Caenorhabditis elegans: one gene and its partners. The protein of the gene in region 2 interacts with the protein of the main gene of each other region in a pairwise test. Each region holds a gene or a part of one and is shown on either strand. Other genes may lie near its edges. The genes, in order: lin-11, rbr-2, zfh-2 and sdz-12.

Evidence for each region.
Region 1: the proteins of rbr-2 (region 2) and lin-11 interact in a two-hybrid assay, tested with the Caenorhabditis elegans proteins (one large-scale study listed by BioGRID).
Region 3: the proteins of rbr-2 (region 2) and zfh-2 interact in a two-hybrid assay, tested with the Caenorhabditis elegans proteins (one large-scale study listed by BioGRID).
Region 4: the proteins of rbr-2 (region 2) and sdz-12 interact in a two-hybrid assay, tested with the Caenorhabditis elegans proteins (one large-scale study listed by BioGRID).

What each region holds. Positions count from the first base shown.
Region 1 is NC_003279.8:10,246,505-10,254,293, reverse strand, and holds the start of lin-11 (Protein lin-11), read right to left. Parts: upstream 6,003-7,789; 5' UTR 5,956-6,002; coding exon 5,723-5,955; intron 5,517-5,722; coding exon 5,388-5,516; intron 4,621-5,387; coding exon 4,482-4,620; intron 3,127-4,481; coding exon 3,036-3,126; intron 2,451-3,035; coding exon 2,389-2,450; intron 2,084-2,388; coding exon 1,982-2,083; intron 1,659-1,981; coding exon 1,557-1,658; intron 273-1,556; coding exon 158-272; intron 1-157. UniProt on the Caenorhabditis elegans protein: Probable transcription factor which is required for asymmetric division of vulval blast cells. Involved in olfactory plasticity probably by regulating the expression of transcription factor mbr-1 in RIF neurons.
Region 2 is NC_003282.8:10,918,537-10,926,079, forward strand, and holds the start of rbr-2 (Lysine-specific demethylase rbr-2), read left to right. Parts: upstream 1-1,533; 5' UTR 1,534-1,570; coding exon 1,571-1,714; intron 1,715-1,757; coding exon of another isoform or gene 1,758-1,764; coding exon 1,765-1,896; intron 1,897-2,155; coding exon 2,156-2,592; intron 2,593-2,820; coding exon 2,821-3,008; intron 3,009-3,057; coding exon 3,058-5,068; intron 5,069-5,231; coding exon 5,232-5,419; intron 5,420-5,465; coding exon 5,466-5,761; intron 5,762-6,192; coding exon 6,193-6,848; intron 6,849-6,893; coding exon 6,894-7,192; intron 7,193-7,543. UniProt on the Caenorhabditis elegans protein: Histone demethylase that specifically demethylates 'Lys-4' of histone H3, thereby playing a central role in histone code. Does not demethylate histone H3 'Lys-9', H3 'Lys-27', H3 'Lys-36', H3 'Lys-79' or H4 'Lys-20'.
Region 3 is NC_003279.8:801,514-806,403, reverse strand, and holds the start of zfh-2 (Zinc Finger and Homeobox), read right to left. Parts: upstream 3,037-4,890; 5' UTR 3,003-3,036; coding exon 2,930-3,002; intron 2,605-2,929; exon of another isoform or gene 2,532-2,604; intron 2,060-2,531; coding exon 1,982-2,059; intron 1,935-1,981; coding exon 1,509-1,934; intron 805-1,508; coding exon 524-804; intron 1-523.
Region 4 is NC_003280.10:3,729,617-3,733,666, reverse strand, and holds sdz-12 (Zinc finger protein sdz-12), read left to right. Parts: upstream 1-1,843; 5' UTR 1,844-2,118; coding exon 2,119-2,235; intron 2,236-2,358; coding exon 2,359-2,415; intron 2,416-2,479; coding exon 2,480-2,620; intron 2,621-2,676; coding exon 2,677-2,895; intron 2,896-2,938; coding exon 2,939-3,118; intron 3,119-3,185; coding exon 3,186-3,284; intron 3,285-3,335; coding exon 3,336-3,515; downstream 3,516-4,050. Other genes in the region: bath-31 (BTB domain-containing protein), read right to left, coding at 590-709, 752-903, 948-1,483, 1,529-1,641. UniProt on the Caenorhabditis elegans protein: Together with ehn-3, may play a role in gonadogenesis.

The DNA of each region.
Region 1 (7,789 bases), on a different chromosome or scaffold from region 2:
TTAACCTAGTACATATTGTGCAGAAAATCGACTTTTTGCCATTGGAACACCTGCTTCTAACGCCCTACCCTCGTGTTTTCATCTGTTTTTCACGCTACCGTGATAATTGGTGTTGCGTAATATTTGAGAACGAGAAGAAGCGATTAAGTGGACTCACCATTCGGGAACATATCTACAATATCGTCACGGCGTGGTCTTCGGGATTGACGATATCCTCCAAAACGAAGTTGTTTCATTCTTCGTTCCTTGCTTCGGCGGTTTTGAAACCACACCTGTAAAATGGAAATTTATTTGGAAAACAAATTAATGGAGAAAATTATCTATTAAAGGTAAACCCTGTGTCATTTGGAAAAATATATTTTGAGTGAGCCCCACAGAAAAATTATGTTATCTGTAGAAGAGCATTTTGAACTTGAAAAAGCCGATCTGAAATTGTTCATTTTCATTCTCGGAATTTTACCAAAAGTAGATTTATGGAAGATTCTTAAAGATTTTGGAAACTTTGAATTTTTTGAAAAAAATTACTGAATCTTTTATCACCCAAATTCAATTTTTAAAATTTCAGATTGTTTTGAACGATTGAAAAATTTTCGAAAACGCCCGGATTATTTTCCCAAGTCCAGAAATCCAAGAAAAAAAAGAAAAAATAGTCGAATTTTTTTTTCAATCATATGTTTTTATGAAAAAAAGTTCTATTCAGATCGAGTTTTTTCAGTTCCGAATGGTCCTCTGTAGTTGACTACTTTTTCATTTAGAAGTTTAAAAGTGAACTAAAACACTGTACACGAAGATTAAATTTTTGAAAAAAATCAATATAGAGAGCGAACCCTTTTTTAGTTCAGTTATTTCCAAATTTTCGAATCAAAACACTAAAAGTTATGTGTTAGCAGTTTTTTAAGTTTACTATTATGGGGCAACTGTGCAGATAAACAGAATTAAAATTTAATTGATCGGTGGAAGTAGGCTAAAAATATTTCACACAAAAAATTAAGACTACAATTAATTTTGGAATTCCGAATATTCAGGGTTCAAAAATTTGAACAAAAAAACGAATTTTCTGAGTTCAACTCAAATTTCTCATTGCAATTCTCTCCCTTGACCACTCAGATTTTTATCTTCCAAATTGAAATTGTTTCCCATTTTCTCTTTCATCATCATTTTCGTATAGCTCTCTAAACACAACCAATTTCCTATGGCTTTCCGTTAAGTTTCCTGTTATCAGTTATTATGATTATGATCATTATTATTTCTATTGTTACATAAAAATCATGTGATGTGTACATCTTTCTTACAGTAAATAACATGATATTAGTTAGAAACTACAGTATCCACTCACTTTTTTCTCTTTTTCTTCTTTCCGTTTTTCCCTCTCTCTCCTTTCAAGGACTACGGTAATTGAATTTGTGTGTGTGCGTGTGGAAGGATGTGTCCTCCCCCAAGAGAGAGAAGGGCGGGGCAGGTGAATTAAAGCGGGAAATGAGAATTTGTGAGAGATAGTGCATTTCGAGGATACTTAGACATGTGCAAAAAAAGAAAAAAAGAAGAAGAATAGAAACCTGAATGACTCTCATGTTGAGTCCTGTCTCGGCGGCAAGTTGTTCACGGATATGTCGAGTTGGTTTGGGTGTTGCGGCGAACGCGTTTTTTAAGGTTTCAAGCTGAAAATATTTATTGAAGCTTTGGACAGTAATAAGATATTTTTTAAGTGGGGAAATTCAAGATTTTCAGCAGGAAACGCTGGATTCTTTATCAAACATTAATTAGAATTTTAAAATCTGATATCCTCTGTCAGTTTTGCCCAACTTTGGCAGCACAAATCTTGATCAGACTATGTTTTACCAAAAAATTGTCAACTGACAAAATATTTGTTACACTGACCTGGATTTAGAAATTTAATTATTTTTTCAAAAAGTTATTTCAATAATTATGTTTGCACTTTCCTTTCCGACATAGATAATTTTTTCTACTTCAGAAAACTCACTTGTTTTGCTTTAATTGTCGTTCGAGGGCCACGCCTTTTCGCAGAATTCGAGTCATCTGAATTGTCCTTCCCACAATCGCCTTCTCCATCATCGAGTCCGACCTGAAATTTTAATAAGTTAGATTAGATTCACTTTGGTTCTAACAAAACATTTTGACTTGTAAGTTATAGGTTAAATCTTTTCAATATTTTTAGTGTTGAGCCATTTTTGCAATCATTTCAAATGATACCAGCTGTCAAAAGTAGGGAAGTATGCTTCTTTATTAAACTGATTAGAAAAATATTTGTATTTTTTAAAGATTCGTTTACAGCAAACTTTTTAGCCACTACTAGAACTTTCTATTTTAAAAAAAAGTAAAAACTGATCCTAAATGGCAATTCCAGAGAAGTATATATTTCAGACCCACCTCATCACAAGCATCCACATTATCCTCCTCCACATCGGAATTGCATTCGGATCCATTGGATACTGTAACAAAAGAACATCATCTGTCTAATACCAGTGTATGTCCATTCCGCAACGAGATTATCCCCCCTTCCTTACTATTTTGCGGTAATTCGAATACAAAGAAATGTTTTCTGTGTTGACAGCTGTCTGTCTCTTCCTCTTTTGTGCAGAGATACCTATCATCGTAAAACTATTCAAACAACACATGGCTCGCTGGCTCATCTTAAATACGTTTGAAACGGAAGCATGGATTAGAACGTATGTCTCTGGTTTTATGAGAAGAAGAAGAAATTTCTAAGGATTTTATGACTTGAAATCTGGGAATTCTTTTTTGACTTTTTGGGTATCTACTGAAAATTATGTCTGGCGGTGTTACTTCAGAGATAAAGAATTTCATGGTAGGTAGGCATGTGTTCAGGCTCACTTGTCTGCCTCTAGCCTATCTGCCTTCATTCAATTATTGGAGTAGGCCTTGGACGCCTCAGCAGTCAACAATTTTATGAAAACTCCACCTTCTACCATAACTTTGAACAACTTTTGTATTATCTTTAAAACTCAATTCTTCGTCTCTTTCTCTTTCCCTTTCTTTATTTTTAAAAACCTTACCGGGCCTATGAATCGATGTGGGCGTTGATGTTTTGGTTGCTGTTTGAAAATCACTTTGACACACGAATCGATTGCCTTCCATGATATAAAGCTGCAAAATAACACTAAAAATTCCGCGAAAAAAAAACAAAAACAATCGTGGGAACCCCTCGCATATTTTCATGACAGTTGGAGCTGTCTCAAACCTTGACTAGGTCCCCCGTGTAATGCAATTATAAAGTATAATAGGTTAGAGACGGATGGAAAGAAGATGATTGTAGAGTGACAACAGGACACATCCCAAAGGGAATTGGGGAAGGTTTTGAAGCAGGAAGACAGGATGGAAAATGGAAGGAAAATGGCATTGAGATAAGATCTACCGGTTGGTCAGTGGGTAGTTTAACTGATTTGAAATTAATATAAGCAGAAGCAATGAGCAATGAGAAGATAATATGCGCCTCGAGACATTTTGAACGGTTGCTCCAAAATCCTAGTATTCTTGGAAAATTGTTTTAACGTATTGTTTTTCAACTGATAATGAGAAATGTTTAAAGTATGGTGTCCGGCAAATACTTCCGGCAACTATACAACGACAACCAAATTTTTCAAATAAAACAAATTTTAAAAAAATTAAAATATTTGATTGATCTGAAATAAAGTGTTTTTTTTTTGGAAAAGTTCAAAAAATCTGAAAAACTTTAACAGTAGTTTTGATAACTTCCGAAACAGTACTTGAAGTATTTTTCAAACGTTCCATTTAAAATATTTATTCATTATTTTGAAGTCAATCGAATATTTTTTTCTATATTTCTACATTAATTTTTCTTTTTTAAAAAGTAGAATTATTATACCAAAACAAACAGTATGGAAGTTGAGAGGGTTTTTAGATATTCAGCGCGCCTCTAGACAGAAATAGTTTTTGATGTTCCCTATAATGTTTATGATCAAAATTTTAATCAACTATCTGTTTCATCTACATGAGTCAAAACAATACTCAGAACAGCATCAATGACATTCAGTGACATCTTCTATTCAAGAAAACAAAACATTTTGAATGACAAGAAGGCGTGAAGCTTGAGTGGTAGAGAGCTCTCGGTAAGAGGCAGGTGCAACTGACAGGGGCTCATGATGGGGACACATTCAAGAGGTGTGAGCATGTGATTTTTAGGGATCTGCGTATCTTATTTGCAAATGGGCTTATCAGTATAAGTTAGACGTGAGAAAATAGCGACTATGAATATCTAATTTCATCTGAGTCACCGCTCAACTTATAGAAAAACCTTGATAATGGTGGAGACAAGCTTAAAAAGAACTGCCAGTTAAAACGTCAAATATCACTTACCGTCAGCCTTAAATAATATAAAACTTATTTGAAACTTTAGTTCAATTAAGGTACCAGCCTGGATTAATATATAAGATCAAAAGTACAATCAATCTTATATAGAGAAGAGGCTTAGCCTGGCTCACCTGGTCACCAGTGTCCAATAACCTTTGACAAACGGAGCATTGAAAACATCGAATATGAAAAACTTTATCTCTTGCTCGTCTCACCAGATCCTCTTTTTCCAATTTCCCATCGCATCCGGCACACCGTTGACTATATCGCCTGAAAATCACAATCAGGTAGGTAAAATAATTATGGACACCGTGGGAACCGTGGGAAAATTTAGATATAGAATTTGAAATTTGAAAATCAAAATAAGCAAGTAAGATTTGTTTACTACAAGTGAGCTTGAAAGCATAAGAAATTTGAGAATTTTGGAATATGATCTTCAAAACTTTAGAACATGTTTTGGGAGGATTTTGGAATTGCGGAATCTTTAAATTTTATGCCGTCATTTGCTTGAATATATTCTCCTAGCCCTTTTTGGCAAAGTTTTGGAACTACAATATATCCAGGAGTGGGTGACGATTCGCAGTACGATTATTTGAATTGGCATGAAAAAAACCAATTTTTCAATATGAAAAATATGTTGCAAAAGACTGAAAAAAATCTGAGAGACTTACTGAAAATTGACATCTACCAGAAAATAGTTATTACAATTTCATACCAGATTTCAGGACTTTTTTTTATTTTTCAATGAAAATAAACGTAGTTTTCAAATTGATCATGTTTTATATATTTTTACATAAACTTTTGACTAAAAATTTGGAATTTTGAAATTGTCACTGTTGAAGAATCTTAGAGGTTTTCAGCTTCAAAACTTCAGCGTTCAGTTAGAACTTTTAAAGTTTGCACACTGGAAAATTCAATGGAAAATTCATCACAACCTAATTGTAAGATGTTTTTGAACTATCTCCAAGAGCTCAAAACTTGCAGCCCGGCTCTTTATAGATCACAGTTCTTAGAAATTAATGTTGCTCGGAACTTACCTTGAAAAATCAGTTTTACACAGAATAAGACCATCTCTACTAAAACAAGTCATTGACATGGGCGCTCGACAGTCACAACATCGAAGACAAGACTGATGCCAGCATTTTCCGAGCACAGTGAATACATATCTGAAAGTAAGTGAAAGTGTCGGCTGAAAATGAAATGACTGCTAGTGCTGCTGCTGTCGAAGGGGTTGAGAGGGGGAAATGAATCGAAAATGGAAAAATTCAATTAGGGGCGAGAGAGGTGGTGTTACAGCAGCTAGAGATGAAAATTGGAATGAGACTAAACGGAAAATAATCATAAATTGCAAAAAAAGGTGAGGGACCGATACCTGTCAAGAATAGGCTGTGCACACGCGGCACACTCATTTCCACTAATTTCAGAGATGTGCGGCTGAGTCGTTGACGATGGCATCATCCACGTGGCAGAGTCGAGAAGCAGCAACGTGGCAGATGAGGTGACACTGCCGACGTCTTCAATTGACTGCTGATGAAGATGATGAGCAGGAGGCTTCTTCTCCTCTTCTTCCAGTGAGGTGATGATGAACGAAGAAGAAGAATGCATTGAGAAGGGAGTAAAAGGAGGAGGAGAAGAAGAAGAAGAACGACCACGAAGGTTACGGTGGTTGGGGCACCAGGAGGCTGGCTGGTTGATGGGCGGAGTTATTGACACAAGAGAGAGAGAGAGAGAGAGAAAGCCTGAAGAATGAGAGCTATTGAGGGAAAGAGAGAGAGGAAATTACGAATGTTGAAGCCTAGAAGAAAAATAAGAAGAACGAGAGAATAGGGATCGCTTTTGGTTTAAATGCTCATGATAGTTCAAATATTTTTCATTCACCGTATTTTCTGTATTGCACTACGTTTTCTTTCACACCTTATATCTCTGTTATCTTCAGTTATATCAAAAATAGTCAACATGAGAAATAAAGAAAAATATTTTCCAAGTATTTTATCAGTTTACAATTTTGATAAAAACTAAAGACAGCAAAAATATAAGCTTTTAAAGTAGATCAAAAGGGGTGCAAGTCTAATAGGGTAGTTTTTATAACTTCAAGGGGTGGTTTTTAGTAATTTTTGTTTTGATAGTGACATTATTCTACGATCAAGTTTTGCAAATTACGTTTAATTTTTTTCGGATTTTTTCTGGAATTTTTTACCAGAAGAACGATTGTCTAAAATGGGATACCGTATATATTAATTTTGTACCAATCTACAAAACGGCCCACTTTGGTACAATAACGCAACTTTTCAAATGTGGAAATCTAGAAAAATATTTGGTTCATATGAAAACCAAGTCAATTTTATTAAAAATTTCAGAAAAATCGTCAAACTTTTCCTTAAATTTGCCATTTTCCATAAAAATTGTTTGTGATATTTTTTTAGGCAGTCAACATTCAGCCAGTTTTTCAGATTCTTTTCAATCTTCGCAAAAAAGATTGGGGTTATTTTCAAATTAATACAATATTTTTATACATACATTTTAAATTCAAAAAGTTTGATTATCGTTCCGAAATCGGAAGCTTTAAAATGTTTCTTTTAATTTCAATTGAATTTTTAATTGAACACTTTCTGAGCTGTTAAAGTTGTATAATTGAGTGCGCTAAGATTTAATTCGCTACTTTGAAACTTTCCATTTGTTTTCATCGGGGTCATACAACTACAATGATTTTTACTTTTTTGTATTACATGTTATTTTAGGAACAAATATCCTAAATTAGAAGGATTTTTCTCAGTTCAAAACTTCGCAAGCTCTGTAATTCTGTATTCAAATTGTTTTTCAGCACATTGAAAAAAGAATAGCTAGTCCGGTAAAATACAACCAAAACTTATTTAACCCACAGAAGCAATCTCTTGATAAATACCAGTGAATCGACGGATCAGAGGCGCCCCTTGACGCCTCGACCAAATGAAATCTTTAGACACCACCAATTCAAAATTTTAATTCAAAGAGCCGTCAATGGAACAAATAAACACAGTTTCAATCAGGTTTCGAGCAAAAAGTTCTGCTCTTCACCTGTTTGACTTTGGGCATGTTTTCAATATAATACAAACCACATCCAACCGAACAGAATCAGCTGGATAGAAGGACAAACTCATTCGATATGAAATCAAAAGTGTCACGTATACAACTAGAGTAAAAGTGAAATGATTTTCTCATTTTGAACTTGTCATTTCTTGTGTGTCAACTATATCTACGAGTTCAGTGATTGTTATTTTTTCTTCCGGTGAGGTTGTCCTTGGTCTAGTGTCATCCCATTTCGGGCTTGTCACCTCCTACTGAAACAATGCCATTTCGCGCAGAAATTGGAAATAAAACTGAAGGATTACGGTAATAGAAGACGAGCGGAATGAGATGACGGTAGAATGTGATTCAGTGGAAATTCCTCAATTCATGAATG
Region 2 (7,543 bases):
TTGTCGTAAGAATGTGTGTAGTCGTGTGAAACAAGTCTTTTTCGCCCTTTCGTTTTTAATCAGCTTCTTCACACGCAGACAGCTGATTCTGCTTTTGCAGTTATAATCTATGTCTTCTCATTCTCTCGCGCGCAACCATCGTTTATTTCAAAACGGGCGCATAATAACTTTTTAATGAGTTTGATTTAGTTTTGAAAAATAATATTCACATTCCTTAGAAACTATGGAGATTCACAATTCGGCGAAATCAGTTTCTACATATTACTGTGTACTTTTTACAACTTCTATGATTTTAAAGTGGCGAGTTTATGCGGAATGGTCTCGCCACGCTCTGCGATTTTTTTTTCAGAAATCTGGTATGTGCGCCTTTAAGATTACTGTAGAGGGTTTGCTGGCAAATCTCCAATTTTCTCGTTTCTCCCTTTTCTTCATTTTCGATTGTTCTTTTCCCAATTTTCTGTATTTTATGTAATTAGACATGCCAGAAAAATCTCTACAGTCATCTTAAAGGCGCACACGCCAATTTTTTCATGAGTTCGCAGTGCGTGGCGAGACCATTCCGCATTGATACGCCTCCCTTTAAAACCGTAGTAAACAAACACAGTCTCAAATCTTCAATTAAAAATGCTGGCTCTCGGAGCCATAATTCCATGTTCTCTTTTTCTCTCAGTCTGTGTTCATTTTACATGCGTCTTCCTGCTTTCTCTTCGTTTTCTTTGTGTGCGCCCATCTTTCCTCAGCTGCTGGCCTCAAAAAAAAGTTAGTGCAAAAATTCACGTATTACTAGGAGGCACATGCGAGAACGCGTCGCGCACATAACATGAATAAAGTGTGATTGGGCAGGAGACCGAGAGATTATTGCTAGCGAATAGCATGCAAACAGAGGAGTGACAAGACGACGAGAGTGGACACTCGAGAGTAATGTTCGGCGGAGCGCACTTTCCTCGATTTTCGTGGGCCGACCCTGGTGGGCGCTGGGGGCTATTTCCTCTCGGTTTTTCGATTTTATCTATATTTTTTTCTGTTTCTCCGCTTATCTTTACCGCACGCAATTTCTGACGAAAAGGACACCGACCTACTGCAAAGTGGTCAAAGAATACCAGTCTCTCAATGCATTTTAGGTGACACATCAAAAAGATTCAGAGAGATGGAGTTTTCAATGATTTGAGTTACTATACGATGCCTTACGTGTCTTGACCTACATTTAAAACTCTACCAAAGATCCTTGTCTAAACTTTGAAAAGCTGCTCGACCTCAAAAATTGGAGAAATATATATATTTAAATATGAGTCATTTTTCAGCTTAATTATTTATACAATATTAAGTTCAAATCAAAAGCTTAATAAGAAAAAGCTTAAAAGCCAATTTTAAAGGAGTATAAGCTAATTTTCATTTCCGGGTTTCTATGACGTCTATCATAACACTCGTGATGCATCTTGTTTCATCACATGGAAATTTCTCGTCGGTACTTAAAATGTTCTTCTTCTCAAAGCTTTTAATTTCAATTAATATTAAAGTCAAACAAAAATGAAATTTACAGATCTCATGAAGCTATAAGCCAAACTGAAAAATGCGTGCACGTCGTCAAGAGAACAGTATCTCGACGCCGTCAGCACCGTCGACGAGCACTTCTCCGCGGAAGAAAGCATCCATCGGAAATTCAAGATCTAAGAATCATGGAAGCAAAATGGAAATGTACGATCAATTCTATAAGGTTTGATTACTAAGACATACATAAGGTGAATAAGCTTTCATAGTTTTCAGAAATTCGTACGACCTCCAATGGCTCCAATTTACTACCCGACAGAAGAAGAGTTCTCAGATCCAATCGAGTATGTTGCCAAAATACGACACGAGGCCGAAAAATTTGGAGTTGTTAAAATTGTTCCGCCGGCGGTAAGTTATTTATTCGGAAAATTGTACGTCTGACGTTTAACAAGTTTTTAATCGTTTTTGAAAAGTCTGAAAAAAAGCGAAACAATGTTTGTAGTAGTTTAAAAACTTCTACTACTCCCTTCAATTAAATACTAAATATTAGAAAATTTTCAGTTTACTAAAAGAATGGTCACCACTTGAAAAGTGCAATTTTATCTGAAAATTTTTGATTTTTCCCTCAAAAAACGAATCGAGAAGCATCAACTCTCTTTTTTTGCAGAATTTCAAACCACCGTTTGCTATCGACAAAGAAGCCTTTACATTTCGTCCCCGAACTCAAAAACTGAATGAAGTGGAGGCAATTGTCAAAGAGAAACACACATTTATTGACCGATTAATCAATTTCAATCGATATTCTGGTCTAACTTTTGAGTTTCCAGTGGATCGAGATGGAAATATTGTCGATTTGTATCGATTACATCGTATAGTTCAAAACTTTGGAGGATGTGAAGAAGTGAATGAAGATGAAAAATGGAGAGACGTTGCCCGCGAATACCTTCCAAAGGAGCAAATGGCTCGCGGTGTTCCGTCGGCTTTCATAAATTTGATTCGATCACATTATAATTTGCACATTGAACCATTTAATCGAAATTTGAAAGAAAAAGCGATGAAAAATGATGATGAAAGTGATGATGAAATGGAAGAATTAAAGCATAAGTGAGTAATTAAGAAATTTAAATAAATAAAAATCTACAAATCAGTTAAGAAAACATAATGTAGATGGATTTTTTTGAAATTATATGCATTTTAAATTTTTCTTATGTACCCATGTTTTTGTTTTTTAGAACCATGAAAAAATGTTAAAACCGATAAATAGTAAAATTTTTAATTTTGTTATTAATAATTTCCCCCATTATTCTAATTAAAAACGAATGAATTTCATAGATATCAACATCACCACGGAACTATGCGGACAGAAATAGAAGTTCCAAATGATAAAACTACTGAAGGAGGGGAAGATGAGTGTCCAGTGTCGATGCAAAGTGGTCGACGGAGATCTAAAAATAAGAAGGCTTCATCTTCAAGAAAGACTCTTGGAACATCTTCAAAGAAGAATTCAACCAGAGGAAGAAGTTCGTTTTTTAAATTTAAATTTTTTAAATTTATTTTCACAAATTACAGAAAATAAGAAGAAAGCCGAAGGAGACGATGATGATGATGAAGATCCAATGGATCAAGTATTCTGCGTTGCTTGTAATGAAGGAAAGGATGAAGATCTACTACTTCTTTGCGATATTGATGGATGCAATAATGGTCGTCATACATATTGTTGTGATCCAGTACTCGATGAAGTACCAGAAGGCGAGTGGAGATGTCCAAAGTGCATTGAATCAGAGGATGCAAAAATCGGATTAGACTGGGGATTTTATGATGCGGACACAGAATACAATCTGAACTCATTCACTGAATTTGCCAACAAATGGAAATGTGATTATTTCGGTGTAAAAGATGTATCACAAGTGTCGTGTGATGCTGTGGAACGATCATTCTGGAAGAATGTAATTTCACACGAAAATCCAGTTTCTGTCAAATACGGTGCCGACTTGATTACGAGTCGAGTAGGAAGTGGATTTCCTCGAAAAGAAGATAAGCACACTGGCCCAGATCTGAAGCTGAAGCAGCAATACGCTTCACATGCATGGAATCTGAACAATATGCCTGTACTTCGAGAATCTGTTCTCTCACATTTTAATACTGGAATTTCTGGAATGATGGTACCGTGGGTCTATGTTGGTATGTGCTTCTCGACGTTCTGCTGGCACACCGAAGATCATTGGACGTATTCTGTTAACTATAATCATTTTGGAGAACGGAAAATTTGGTACGGTGTTGGTGGAGAAGATGCTGAAAAGTTTGAAGATGCATTGAAGAAAATAGCACCTGGATTAACTGGAAGACAAAGAGATCTATTCCATCATATGACTACAGCTGCAAATCCTCATCTTCTTCGTTCATTGGGAGTTCCAATTCATTCAGTTCACCAGAATGCTGGTGAATTCGTCATTACATTCCCACGTGCTTATCATGCTGGTTTCAATGAGGGACTCAACTTTGCGGAAGCTGTCAATTTCGCTCCAATTGATTGGCTATCAAAAGGTCGAGAATGCGTTGAGTCTTACTCAAATGTACGAAGATATCTTGTATTTTCTCATGATGAGCTTCTCTTTAAAATGGTTGAAGCAATGGATAAACTTGGAATTTCGATGAGTTTAGCAACACATGAAGAACTGATAAGAATATATGAAAAACAAAAAATGTTGAGAGAACTTCTCGCTCGCCTCGGAGTTTCCAATCGCCAAATGCAGCAAGTGATGTTCGAAAAGATTCCAGATGAACAAAGATCGTGTCGTTTTTGTAAGACGACTCTCTTCATGTGTGCATTGGTTTGTAACAAACACAAGAAAATGACTTGTGTTGAACATCATGATCATCTTTGCAATTCGTGTACAACGAAAGACTACAGATATCAGTACAGATTCGAGTTGGATCAATTGAACAATATGTGTGATGAACTTGGAAAGCGTACGGTTAACTACAATGGATGGAAAGAAGAGTCGGATGAGATGCTTGAAGAAGAAGGAAAACCAAAACTCGAGAGAATTGAAGAGTTTATAGATTCTGCCAAACAAAACAAGTATCCACAGACAGATCAAGTTCATAAATTGATAACAATTCGTCATACAGCCAAGAGTGCCATTGAAAAAGCAAATCAATTGCTCTTTAAGAAAGTACGAACGCGAACAAAAACCCGATGTCAGAGAGCCGACACTCGTACAGACACCGAGGGAGTACGGTCATTGATTGAACAAATGCAAGCCATGGATTGCAATTTGACTGTTATTATTGATAAACTTGAGAAATGGATGGAACAAGTTGAAATGTGGAGAAACAGAGCAAAAGATGCTATCTATCGAGAACAAGAATACTCAAAAGAAGAAATCGAGAAGATTATTGAAGAGGGAGATGAATATGATATTAAATTGGAAGAAATCGATGAGTTGCGAAAAGTTATTCAAATGAAGGATTGGTCGGATAGAGCAAGAAAAGTTACTACATGGAAGGCAACTCCCGATATGGAGAAAGATATTGATTTTGAGTATAAGCTTCGATATGCATCCAGTGATATTTTATCGTAAGATTTTAAAAATATTTTTTCTCTTAAAAGGAAATTTGTGTTTGTGGATTTTTCCTCGAATGGGCTCGGCCCAAAACGACCGAATTTCATGATGAGACCTTAAAAATATTTCCAAATACTCTATACCCCTTTAATTCAAAAATTCAATTATATGTTTCAGATTGATTCGTGATAGTCCACGAAATCCCACAGATGGTACTTCTAAACTCGTCTTTGAACTTCAACAAATGCTCCGTGACGCCAATACACTCGAGGTCATTGCAAACAATTTCTGTGAGAATCCAGCACTTGATCAGCTTCAATCAATTTGGCAAAGCCTTAGAGAAACTGATTGGTTCTATGAAAAATGTTTGTTATTTAATGCATTAGTAATTCTTACAAAATAATTTTTAAGATATTAACATGGTTCGCTATGAGATCATTCATGTTGCCAAAATCAAGTCAATGATAGATGCCGCAATTCCCGTGCTATCAGAATTTGATTTAAAAACACAACTGCAGAAAATTGTCAATGTTGAAATTACACTATCGAAGGCGGCCGAAATCAGTAAAGCATTCGAAACTTCAAAATGTCTAAACGGTTCCGAAGAGCATCTCGGGATTTTGGATATGATCAGCACAATGAATGCATTTACTCAGAGGATAGCTATTCTGTTCAAGCCAAATAATGCGTATCACAATCTTTTTGAAGTGAGTGAGATTCGTGAAATTTGACGATTTTTCGCAAAAAATACGGTACCCGGTCTCGACACGACAATTTTAGTTAAATACAAACGAATGTGCGCCTTTAAAGATTACTGTAGCTTCATAATTTCGTTACTGCGGAATTTTCATAGATTTTTCATAGTTTTCGTTATAAATTTATTTATTTAATAAAAAACTATGTTGAAATAATTAAAAACATGAGACAAATACTAAGAAAAAAAAAGAAAAATCAAGGAAAATTTCGCAGAACCAAAAATTTGAAATTACAGTATCTTTAAAGGCGCGCACCTTTTTAAATTAAACGAAAAAATTTCGTGTCGAGACCGGTGACCGTATATTTGGGTAACATTAATCCAATCAGGAAGTAGCATAGACATTAGCTTCGATCTAATTTGCCTTAAACTTGAATTTTCCAGATTCTCTCCGAACGCGATGATTTAACTCCACTTGCTGAAGGACAAACGATACCATTATATTTTCAAGGAGGCGCAGTACATCCATCTGATGAATGGCATCAAATGAAAGAATTCGAGTCATTAGATCAAATTGTGCATCATCAATCATCGCTACGTGAAATGCAAATGAGAATTTTTGAAAAGGTGAAACAAGCAAATTCAGCTCGTGGTCTTGAAGCATGCTCATGTCTTGGATTCAACAAATCAGATGATTCCGAATCAACACTGACATGCATAATGTGCGATTCAGAGTTTCATGTTCGATGTTGCGAGTGGTCACCGTTCCTTGAAAAACTTCCAGAAGGATGCTTTTTATGTGTTCGATGTCTACGGGGACAACGTCCAGTCATTGATGATGTAACAACTGCTCTGAATGGAACACCTTCTGGATGTTTGGAAACACATCTTGTTCGAAATCTAATACAAAAAACTCGTGGAATCACTCAAAATTTGATGGAAGCTGCTAATAAACGGAAATCAGGAGAATCCAGCGACGATATTTGTAAAATTGCCTTATTCGATTGGCTATCGTGTGAAATTCTGAATCCCAATGGTCTTCCGAAGGCACGCGAGCTGATTTCAGAATTTTATATGGAATATCTTCAAAAACAGTCAAGGTTTGTACACATTATATGTATTAATTTTATTTTTAATTTTTTCAGCGCCGCACTAGAACTCAAAAATCGCCCGGTTCGTTCAAAACCATCGGTATCACTCTTCGATCCAAAAATCACAGCTAAACGCAAAAGGCCAAGTGTTTCACACAAAGAGACGTCGAAAAAATCACGCAAACGTCAAAGTCAAGCATCACCCAGTGAATATTACGAAGACGAGTCTGAATTCAAGTCGTGTCAAGCTCGCGCCTGTTTGAAGCCATATGGAGACTCAGTGAACTGGGTGATGTGTGAAGCAGGCTGCAAAAACTGGTTCCATGTGATTTGTCTTGGATTCACTCTGAGAGGTAAATTAAGATCGGGTTTTGTGGTTTTTTGGAAAAAAAATTTAATTGTAAGGAGAAAAAAAAACGAACCTTTGTTTTGTGACAGACCTGATCTCAAAAAAAAACTTTGTGCCAAAAATACGGTACCCGGTCTCGACACGACAATTTTTGTGAAACACAAACGGGTGTGCGCCTTCAAAAAGTATACTGTAGTTACCAACTCTCGTTTCTGTGGGATTTCATTGTCGTAAAACTTTAAAAAATTTTAAAAACTTCCGCGTTTTTATTTACTCTTTAAAGGCACACAACTTTTTTGCAAGTAAAAAAAATTGCCGTGTCGAGACCGGCTACCATATTTGTTCAATTTTGCGT
Region 3 (4,890 bases), on a different chromosome or scaffold from region 2:
AGACTCAGGCTTAGGTTTAGGCTCAGACTACGCGGGGGAAGGGAGAGAAAAATAAATTCCAAAAAATTGAAAATTTATGAAAAACTAAAATAATTCAAGAAAAACTCCCCGCCACGCCTACCGGACCTTAAATTTTTTGCGTGCAAAGACCCTATAATCAATTACGCCTTGCTTGGGCTCCGCCACGAACACTTTCGCGTCAGAACCAAAACCTAGTAATGATTATACTTATTTTAAAGGTCTCAGCGTACTGAATTCAAAATTTTCACTACAATTTTGAGCTTTCTAGGGATATATTGAAATGTTCAAATTTTTGAATTTTTTTTTCAAAAATTGTAGAAAAAAGGCTTTAAAATACGAAAACTGTTAGCCTTGGCAAAGCAAATATTACTCATTACGCTATTAAATCATGAATTTATGTGTATATGCAAATCGGTGCGCATACACACACAGACACACAAAAATGGGAAAAGGGCGACACAATAAAAATAAGAAGATGATGAGAGGGGAATACAAAACTCACAATTTGAACCTTTTGCAGATGCTTATCCGTCCTTGTGTGTAGTTGAAAATTGGCTTTCAATGTGGTATTATACGGGCACAAGTGGCACCGGAAGCTCCCGTTTAGGACGGTAACGTCTCCTTGGAACGTCCTGGAACGGTCTTGTTCCACGTGTTCCATCATTTCGGCGATAGATTCGGTGGCGAAGATACCGCAGATCAAGCAGACCAGGGATCCGTCGGACTCTTCGATTGGACTACTTCGGCTAACTGGAGCACCACACGCGAAGTTGGCTGCGAATTCTGGAAAATTCAGGATATTTTTGAATTAAAATAATAAAAATCTTAAATCTGAATTCAGCTTAAGGCCTTTCAAATAAGTATAATCATGACCCATTTGGGTCCCACCACGAAAACACGGGATTCTGGTCTTCCTCATGTTTTAAAACAAAAATTGAGCCGCGACACGCAACGCGCCGTAAATCTACCCCAGATATGGCCGGCCTAGTTCGGCAAAAACTCTTCCATTTCAATTTATGAGAGAAGCCAGAAAACTACAGTACCCTCTCCCCCATTTTCGTGCCGAGACCCGGGAAATTTGGGTCTCGACGCGATTTTTATTGATTTCGATCTAAACTCAATTTTCTCAGTCTTTTCAAAATAAAACCAATTTATTAAAAAAATCAGAAAAGTTAGGGGCTTTAATCCAAATATAATCACGTCCATTTTTGGACAAGTGGGTCCCACCACGAAAACTACAGTACCCTTTGAGTGTAAGACCCACAGAACGTCAAATTAAAAAAATACTGTAAAATCGAATTTAGCTCACTGAGAACTCTAATTTGAGTATCATTTTTTAGGGTTCAAAAAAGTTGGCGTAAGTGTTTTTGCGTGGCGAGACCCTAGAATCGAAAAGTTCGAGTTCAACAGTTAAATTCTTGTGAAATTCAAATTCTTGGGTCCCACCACGAAAACTACAGTACCCTTCGCCTCCCCCCCCCACCTACCTATACTATTCGGGAGCTCTTGCACTGCATGAAGATGCTTATCACTTTGCATATGAATACTCAAATTGCCCTTTGTCGTCGTACTGTACCGACACAAATCGCATCGATATGGCTTATAACCGCACGAGTACGTCTCACCGCGAGCCAGCTTCGGGTGGGGACGGTTCTCGGCACAAAACATGCACTTGACATCCACATCGTTGTGCTTCTCCTTCATATGAATTTCAAGGGTCTCCTGGTACTTGTAGTGCCAATTACACTTTGGACATTTCAGCGTTTTCGACGAATTTCGGAGTGATGAGAATTGGGAAATGTCGGCGAACGCGCCGAGCGTCGGATCGAACGGAAACGAGGAGGAGAGGCTCGCCTCGTCGAAGCCTGACGCGGCGAGAATCCGTCCCAGCTGACATTTTGTGTTTTCGTTGGCTGAAATTTTTCGGGAAATTGCGGAAAAAATTTGATCTATGACCTACCAAACATCTGAGCCGTCGAAGGATCCGTAAGAAGTCGCATTATCTCCGCAGAATCTGGCATCATTGGTGGTGATGTTTCTGAAAGAGAGAACTTTAGTTTTTTAGTCCTATGGAATGTGGTTCTTCCGCCGCGGCTGACACTTTTCGGGCTCCACGCGCGGCACTATACACGGGGTTCTGGCCTTCCTTATTGAATTTTTCGCGCTCCATTGGCAATCGCCCGCCGGTCAACGCGTGGGCAAGTCGTGCACTCCACACGGACAAATACATTTAGTTTTACAACTAAAATCGAGCCCAGATGTGACCGAGCCAAGATGGCCTAGTTCGGCAAAAACTCTTCCATTTCAATTTATGAGGGAAGACAGAAGGCCGTGACTATACAGAAGGCGCGCCGCGAGTTAGGCGGAGGTCGCCGCAAAACTGGAGCAGCAGGCGTTTTGGAGGCCCTAGGCGCGCGCGGAACCCTGTACATGTCGGACCATGGTATCAGTTTCGCTATCTCTAGTGCACATTTAAAGCACATATGTACCTCCATCTTGAGAAAGAAATTTCATCTTGCAAGGAATCGAACCCCGGACCTATTGTTTAGAGCTGAAGCGTGTTAACCACTAGACTACAAGCGGCGCGACATGATTCTGGCGGTACTGTAAATTAAATACCACGACAATGCAAATGCGCTCTAGCGACGAACTCTAGTTTCAGAAAGCCAGGAGGTTCAAGGTACACGTGGTGTCAGAGTATGATCTACGTAGATCTACAAAAAAATGCGGGAGAAAAGATTTAAAAACTTGCTTATGTCACATTTTTTGGGGAAAAAATCCCGCATTTTCTGTAGATCAAAAAGCAATGGGACAACCTGGCACCACGTGAAGGTAACGTACCTTTGAAAATGATTTAAAAAAAAAGAAGTCTTGGCCTAAAAATTATCGGTCCCCCGGCCAAACTCACCCCTACTCTCCGTAGACTCTGAACTTGTCGGCGGTTTGTTGTTGTCATCCATTGTCAAAAGTGCCACGTCCATTCTACCATTTAGCCAATATATGGGCGGGGCAACTCTGGAAATTTTTTTGGATGAATTTGTGAGGAAAAAGTGAAAAAAAAATTTAAAAAACGCGAAAGTTGGAAAAGTGGAAAGTTTGAGAGTGATTTAAAATCTAATGAGTCGCAAATGAGAGAGAGAGAATCGGGGCGGGGGGGGAAGCGCGGAGCTCGCCCCACCACCACCACATGTGCTTGCAATTAATTAAATTTTCGAGGGAGCGGGGAGCCCAGGAGAGCCATCCCCGGAAGCTAAACTTCATAAACTTCAAATGAGCACTGAGAGTTGAGTTGACACCTGTGTTGTGAATGAATGTGAGGAGAGGTATTCGGGGGATAGTTACAACAACAATTACACAACACTGACAGGGGACTACGGTAACCATATGGAGGAGCTGGAGGAGCACACAAAACTTGAGACAATGTTCCCCGCATATGTTAGGGGGGTGCCGACACTCTCAGAAAAAAAAAACGGGGGACACTTTGTTTCTAATGGTGTTTCGCGTTTATTGGGTGATCATTGTGGAGATTCACACCTGCAGTTCTGACTACTGATTCATAAGATCACGGGAGCGGAAGCAGCAGCAGCGCAAGGGGTGTAAGAAAAATCATAACTTTGGGGTATGAAAATGGGATAAAGGAAACGGCAACGACAATTGTAGAACGAAAGTCGGAGGCCTAGGCAGGCGTGGCCTCAGGGCCTGATGCCTGCATTTTGGCATGAACTTACAAAATTTTGTAATTTCCGTATTTTTATCAATTTGATGAAAAACATTTTAAGAGATAAGGCTCGGATTGAGGCGAGAGGCAGGCGGAGGTCGCCTTAAAGTCAGGCAGGCAGGCAGAGAACGTCTGAAAGTCAAGCAGGCAGGCGAAAGTCGCCTGAAGGTCAGGCAGGCAAGCGTTTTAACGCCTACTTAAAAACCCTATTCAAGAGCTAGTTTATGAAAACTTTCTTCAAAACTCAAGTTTTACAAATTTTCTGAACATTTTTGAAACGAAAAATGGTTTGAATTTTTTAAAGCTGATTCTGTATGATCTACGTTTTGAGAAAAAAAATTTAATTTTTTCGGATTATTTTTTGAATATTATTTTAAATTTTATAGCAACTCTAAAAATTCGATATTTTTACAGATTTTCAGAAAAAATAGTAATTGCAAAAATTTTTAAGCTTTTTAAAAATGGCTTAGGCTTAGGCTTAGGCTTAGGCTGAGACTCAGGCTTAGTCTTAGGCTTAGGCTTGAACTCAGTCTTAGTCTTAGGCTTAGGCTTAAGCTTAGGTCTCAGCTTCGGCCCAGGCTTAGGCCTAGGCTTTGGCTTAGGCGTAGGCTTAGGCTTGGCGTCAGTGGGGGAGCGTGAGCTCCCACACTGACGCTATTTAGGGTTATTAGGCTTAGGCTCAGGCTTAGGCTTAGATAAACAAACATTTTTTTAAAATAAAAATTTAAAAATATTTCACTGAAAAACTGTTCAAAAAAGTTAAAGAAAAACGTTTTTTATCTGAAAAATTTTTTTAGGCTTAAAACAACTTTTTTGACTAATGTCTATTTTTTTTTGATTATATTTACAAAAAAAATATGGCTGAGCTCAAATTTTTAGGTCTGCAAAAAAAAGGATCCCCAGAAAAAGTGAGAATGAAGCGTGAGAGGAGCAATAAAATGGGCGGGGCGCCACACGAAGAGCACCCTCGTTATAACTGGCTGATTAGGCATTTGAGAAGAGGAAAGTTGAGGGAAGATGATGGGTGTGGAAAAAGTGAGGCGTGGCCTATTTTATACATTGGTGAATCTGATTATTCGGAAGGGGCAGCGCACGACGAAGAAATTTCGACGCGCAAATTTTGAGCAAATAAGAAGTAGGAGAAGAGGGGG
Region 4 (4,050 bases), on a different chromosome or scaffold from region 2:
ATGCCTAATTCAGCCGAGGAATCTGATGTTCATGGCATGCGTGCCTATCGAATTAAAAACATTCATGGAACTTTTTCTATTTGGAGGTTCTGATTTCTTTATTCCATCGTTTTTTCTAATCAACACTACTTCTATTTACGACGACGACGACGAGTTACTGTCAAACACCGTCCGACGATTGAAATCTTCAATTTTTTCCAGTTTTTGAGATTTTTTTCGAGTCTTTCGAATTAAGCTTATTTTCGAAACCTCTAACTTCTTATTTTTCTATGTTTTTGAACTTCACTTTTCAAAACTATATTTTTAAACTCCACAAAATATAACTATGTATATGTCTTATCAAAATACTTTATGAAATGCTAGATAAAAGTTTCTTGAATTCTTGACTTGACTTTTTCTGGTTTGGTCTGGTTCATGATTTGAATTTCTTCTGTAAGTCTTCAAATTTTCTCATCAATATAATATAAAGAAAACGTAAATTTATTTTTTGTACTGGCAAATAAAACTTTACAATTGAAAACAGAGAAAAAATAGTGGCCAAAAATCAGTTATTAGAAAAATGCAATTCATATTTGAAAACGAACAATTTTTAAACTTCAAGAACTCGCTTCAAGACCCGCTTCATCAGGAATGGGCTCATTTCATCAATGTTTCCAGCGATAATTGAGCGGACATCTTGGATGGTTTTGATGGTGTTGCAGCAGTGAATCTGGAAGATAAAATAAGGTTATATTCAGGTGCACGCACTTACCTCTAGTTTCTCCAACTTGTATCTAATTGCCAATTCCAATTTCTTTTTCCCGGACTTCTCGGACTCCTTGTAAAGAAATTTCTCGCATTTCCCAATAACCGCTCTAGAATCGTACATGTCAGCAAGTTGAAGGATTCCTTCGACGGTATTGTCTGAAATTTTTAAATTATTACCAATGTGAGCACTAAAAACTAACCATCAATCGAGTCCTCCAAATAGAGAACTTCCAAAAATGCCTGGAAGGCTTCCGGGTCTATCCCAGAGAGGGTAACCTCTGATTTCTTCGACTCGCCGAAACTGCCAAAGAACAAGGATTTGAAGTAGGAGCACTGCAGAGCGAGATGCTTTCTCAGAACATGAAATCTCTGCTCATCCACTACCAAAACCACATCGGACAGCTCTCCCATAGACTCATTGTCGAACTTCAAAACCGGATCTCTTCCCTTGAACCCAGAAGCGTTCAATATTTGAACATGAACTTTAAAGTGTAGCGCATCTTCAATCACAAAGTTTTTTGCGACTTTCTCCCAATCGGCAAACTGCTTCCATCCCCATGAGTTTTCCTTCGGCTTCTCACTATTGAAATTTACAGTGGCTGTTTTGCAGTGGGGAGATTCATTGGGAGATCTAAGCTTCACTTCAACATTCGCCTGAACTGACCAAATTGTGCCAAGTTGGTCGCAACTAAGATACACCTCAAGTTGATCAGTTCTTCGATTGACATGGAGTTTCCTGGAAATATAAAAATTTAAATAAAAAAAGGAAAGTTAAAAATACCATGGAATATAGTAATATTCTTTAACCTCGCTGCAATAAGTGGTATCCGGCTTGAAGTTGGAGATTGCTTTAATAGTGTAAGTTGACACAAATTCCTTTGTTATAACGAGCATGTCTACTAACCTACTAAATTGCAGAAAAATGACGAATAGGAAGACTTGTAGAGGCAGATTATGAGTGAATAACGCTAGGAGATAATCTTAGTGGATCGATAAAATAATGCATAATGCAGCGTCTCGTTTCCCGGCAAATTTGGCACAGTTGGCAGCTGGTCTTCCAAAAATGTTGTGAATTTTGTTAAAGATTACAATATTCCCCCCAAAGAAGGTGCATCGTCAATGGAGAAATTACTGAAAAAACTGAGATACTGAAAAACTCAATCAGCTCTACAATGTGCAATTACACACATTTCATAAATTCGTCGGCCCCGCTTCTCCAAAAGCCCCAACGTCATATGTGACGCAACTTCTCACAGCTTTCGAGGACACAGTCTTTGAACTTATGTACCTCTTTTTGCAACTACGCAAAAACATTTCTCACTCCCCTTCCTCCCTGCCCTCGGACAATCCGCAGAGATTTCTTCTGTGAAAATGAGTTTGTCATCACTAGACGCCGTATTGTCGCTTATTGCAACCTCTTCCACTTTGGATCAGGATTCTGCTAAGGTGCCCCAGTGTCAAGTTTGCAAAAGAAAGTTCGCGAATCAGGTTAGTTTTTGAAGTGAGCAAAAAAGTGTTGTTAATTTATCTTAATTTTACAAAATTTACTGTACAGCAGATAATCTTCCTTTTTTTGCTAGTTAGTATATAGAGCTCACTACCATTTTTCAGAAAACGCTGAGAACGCACATGAAGCACATTACGTGTAGGCCTGGACGTTCCAATGTGGTGAGTTTTTGAGAAAATGTTTAAGCCACTGAGCTTCTCCTCCTCCAACTATACGTTTTTTCAGGTCAATCACAAATTCAGATGTGAAAATTGTGAGAAACAATTCACCAACAAGCCAAACTTGAAGCGTCATCAAATAACTCACTCTGGTTCAAAATCCAAGAAGTGCAGCACTTGCCAGAGAACATTCTTCAGGGAAGATCAGGCAAGCAGATTTTATTCCATTTTTCCTGTTCAATTCCAGCAATTTGTAATTTTCAGCTTCAAAGGCACCTGCACAACCATCTCAAGGAAAGATCACATTTCGACTGTCCCGTGTTGAACTGTTCAATGCAGTTCGTATTCTATGAGGGCGTTGAAAATCATCTCGTAAACCATCACCACTTTTCATACAGCGAATCGGCTCCGTGTGGAAAATGCCACAAGTTATTCGGGAGTCCTAGGCATCTCCTGGTACACTACCATTTTGATCATAAAGAGGTGAAAAGCTTTATAATTCTTTAAGACTTAACAATCCTTTCAGGCTCTGCGCTCTTCGGCTCCTGCTCCCACAAGCTCCGCCAGACTGTCACCTATCACCGTATCAACTTCAGGAAGTCCCAGAGCTCAGTTGGCAATCTCGCCACAAGAGAAGCCGCCTCAAAAATTGAGCATAAATCTAGGAACTTCCCCGATGATCGAAGAATTCTGTGAACAGAACTCGGTATGTTTTCATTTTCAATATTGGTTTTGGTGCCGTTCTTTGAAACCATTAGACTTGAAATTTTCAGGCAACTCTTCCAAACACTGATCAACAGCTCTCACCAACTCTAAGCCCCAATGAGCCAAGGTTTAGAAATCTAATTACCAGTGAGCCAACCCCAAGCTTTGTAAGTTCTTAAGTTTCAAAGTACACTTTCATCAACTCAAAAGCTCTTCAGGAATGCAAGCACTGCACGATCAAGTTCCACGATGCCACAATGAGCATCATGCATAACGCCCTTCACGCGCCAGGAAGCCCATTCAAATGTGCAATTTGTGGAGCAGAATGTGGAAATAAGATCGTGTTCACCATGCACATCATCACTGCGAGTCATGATTTTGGTGGCATAGGAACTTAATTGATAAGATTCTACTGCTTAATTAATATTTTTTCTTGTTAAAAGTACTCAATGAATCTCGTTCTCGCCCTTGAAGGAAACTGATAATTGTTGATAACTACGGTAACCTACAGTACCCTATTCTATCGTGATCACTGATTTTATGGAGTAATCAAACAATTAGTTGGTCTTCAGAATACAGGACTGGTAGATCAAACTACGCATAGTTTCTTTTTCTATCTACATCTTCTTCACTCTCCTTCCCATTTGCTCTCTGCCAATACCGCGCGCCAAATCGATAATTGCGCCCCACCAAAACACTCTGCGCGGGTTCATTTATTCCTTCACCTCTACTCTCTTATCAATGGACCTGCCTGAAGCTCAAGCTCTTGTGCCAGTTTATTCTCAGGTACTGTAAAATTTTCACAAATTAATTAATAAAGGATCCATTTTTTTTCAGGAATTGCGCAAGGTGCAACAGTTCAAGTAATTACATTCTCAGAAATCTCTGAGCAATCACATACGGAACACCAAATGTGGACTTGGGCTGTCTTCT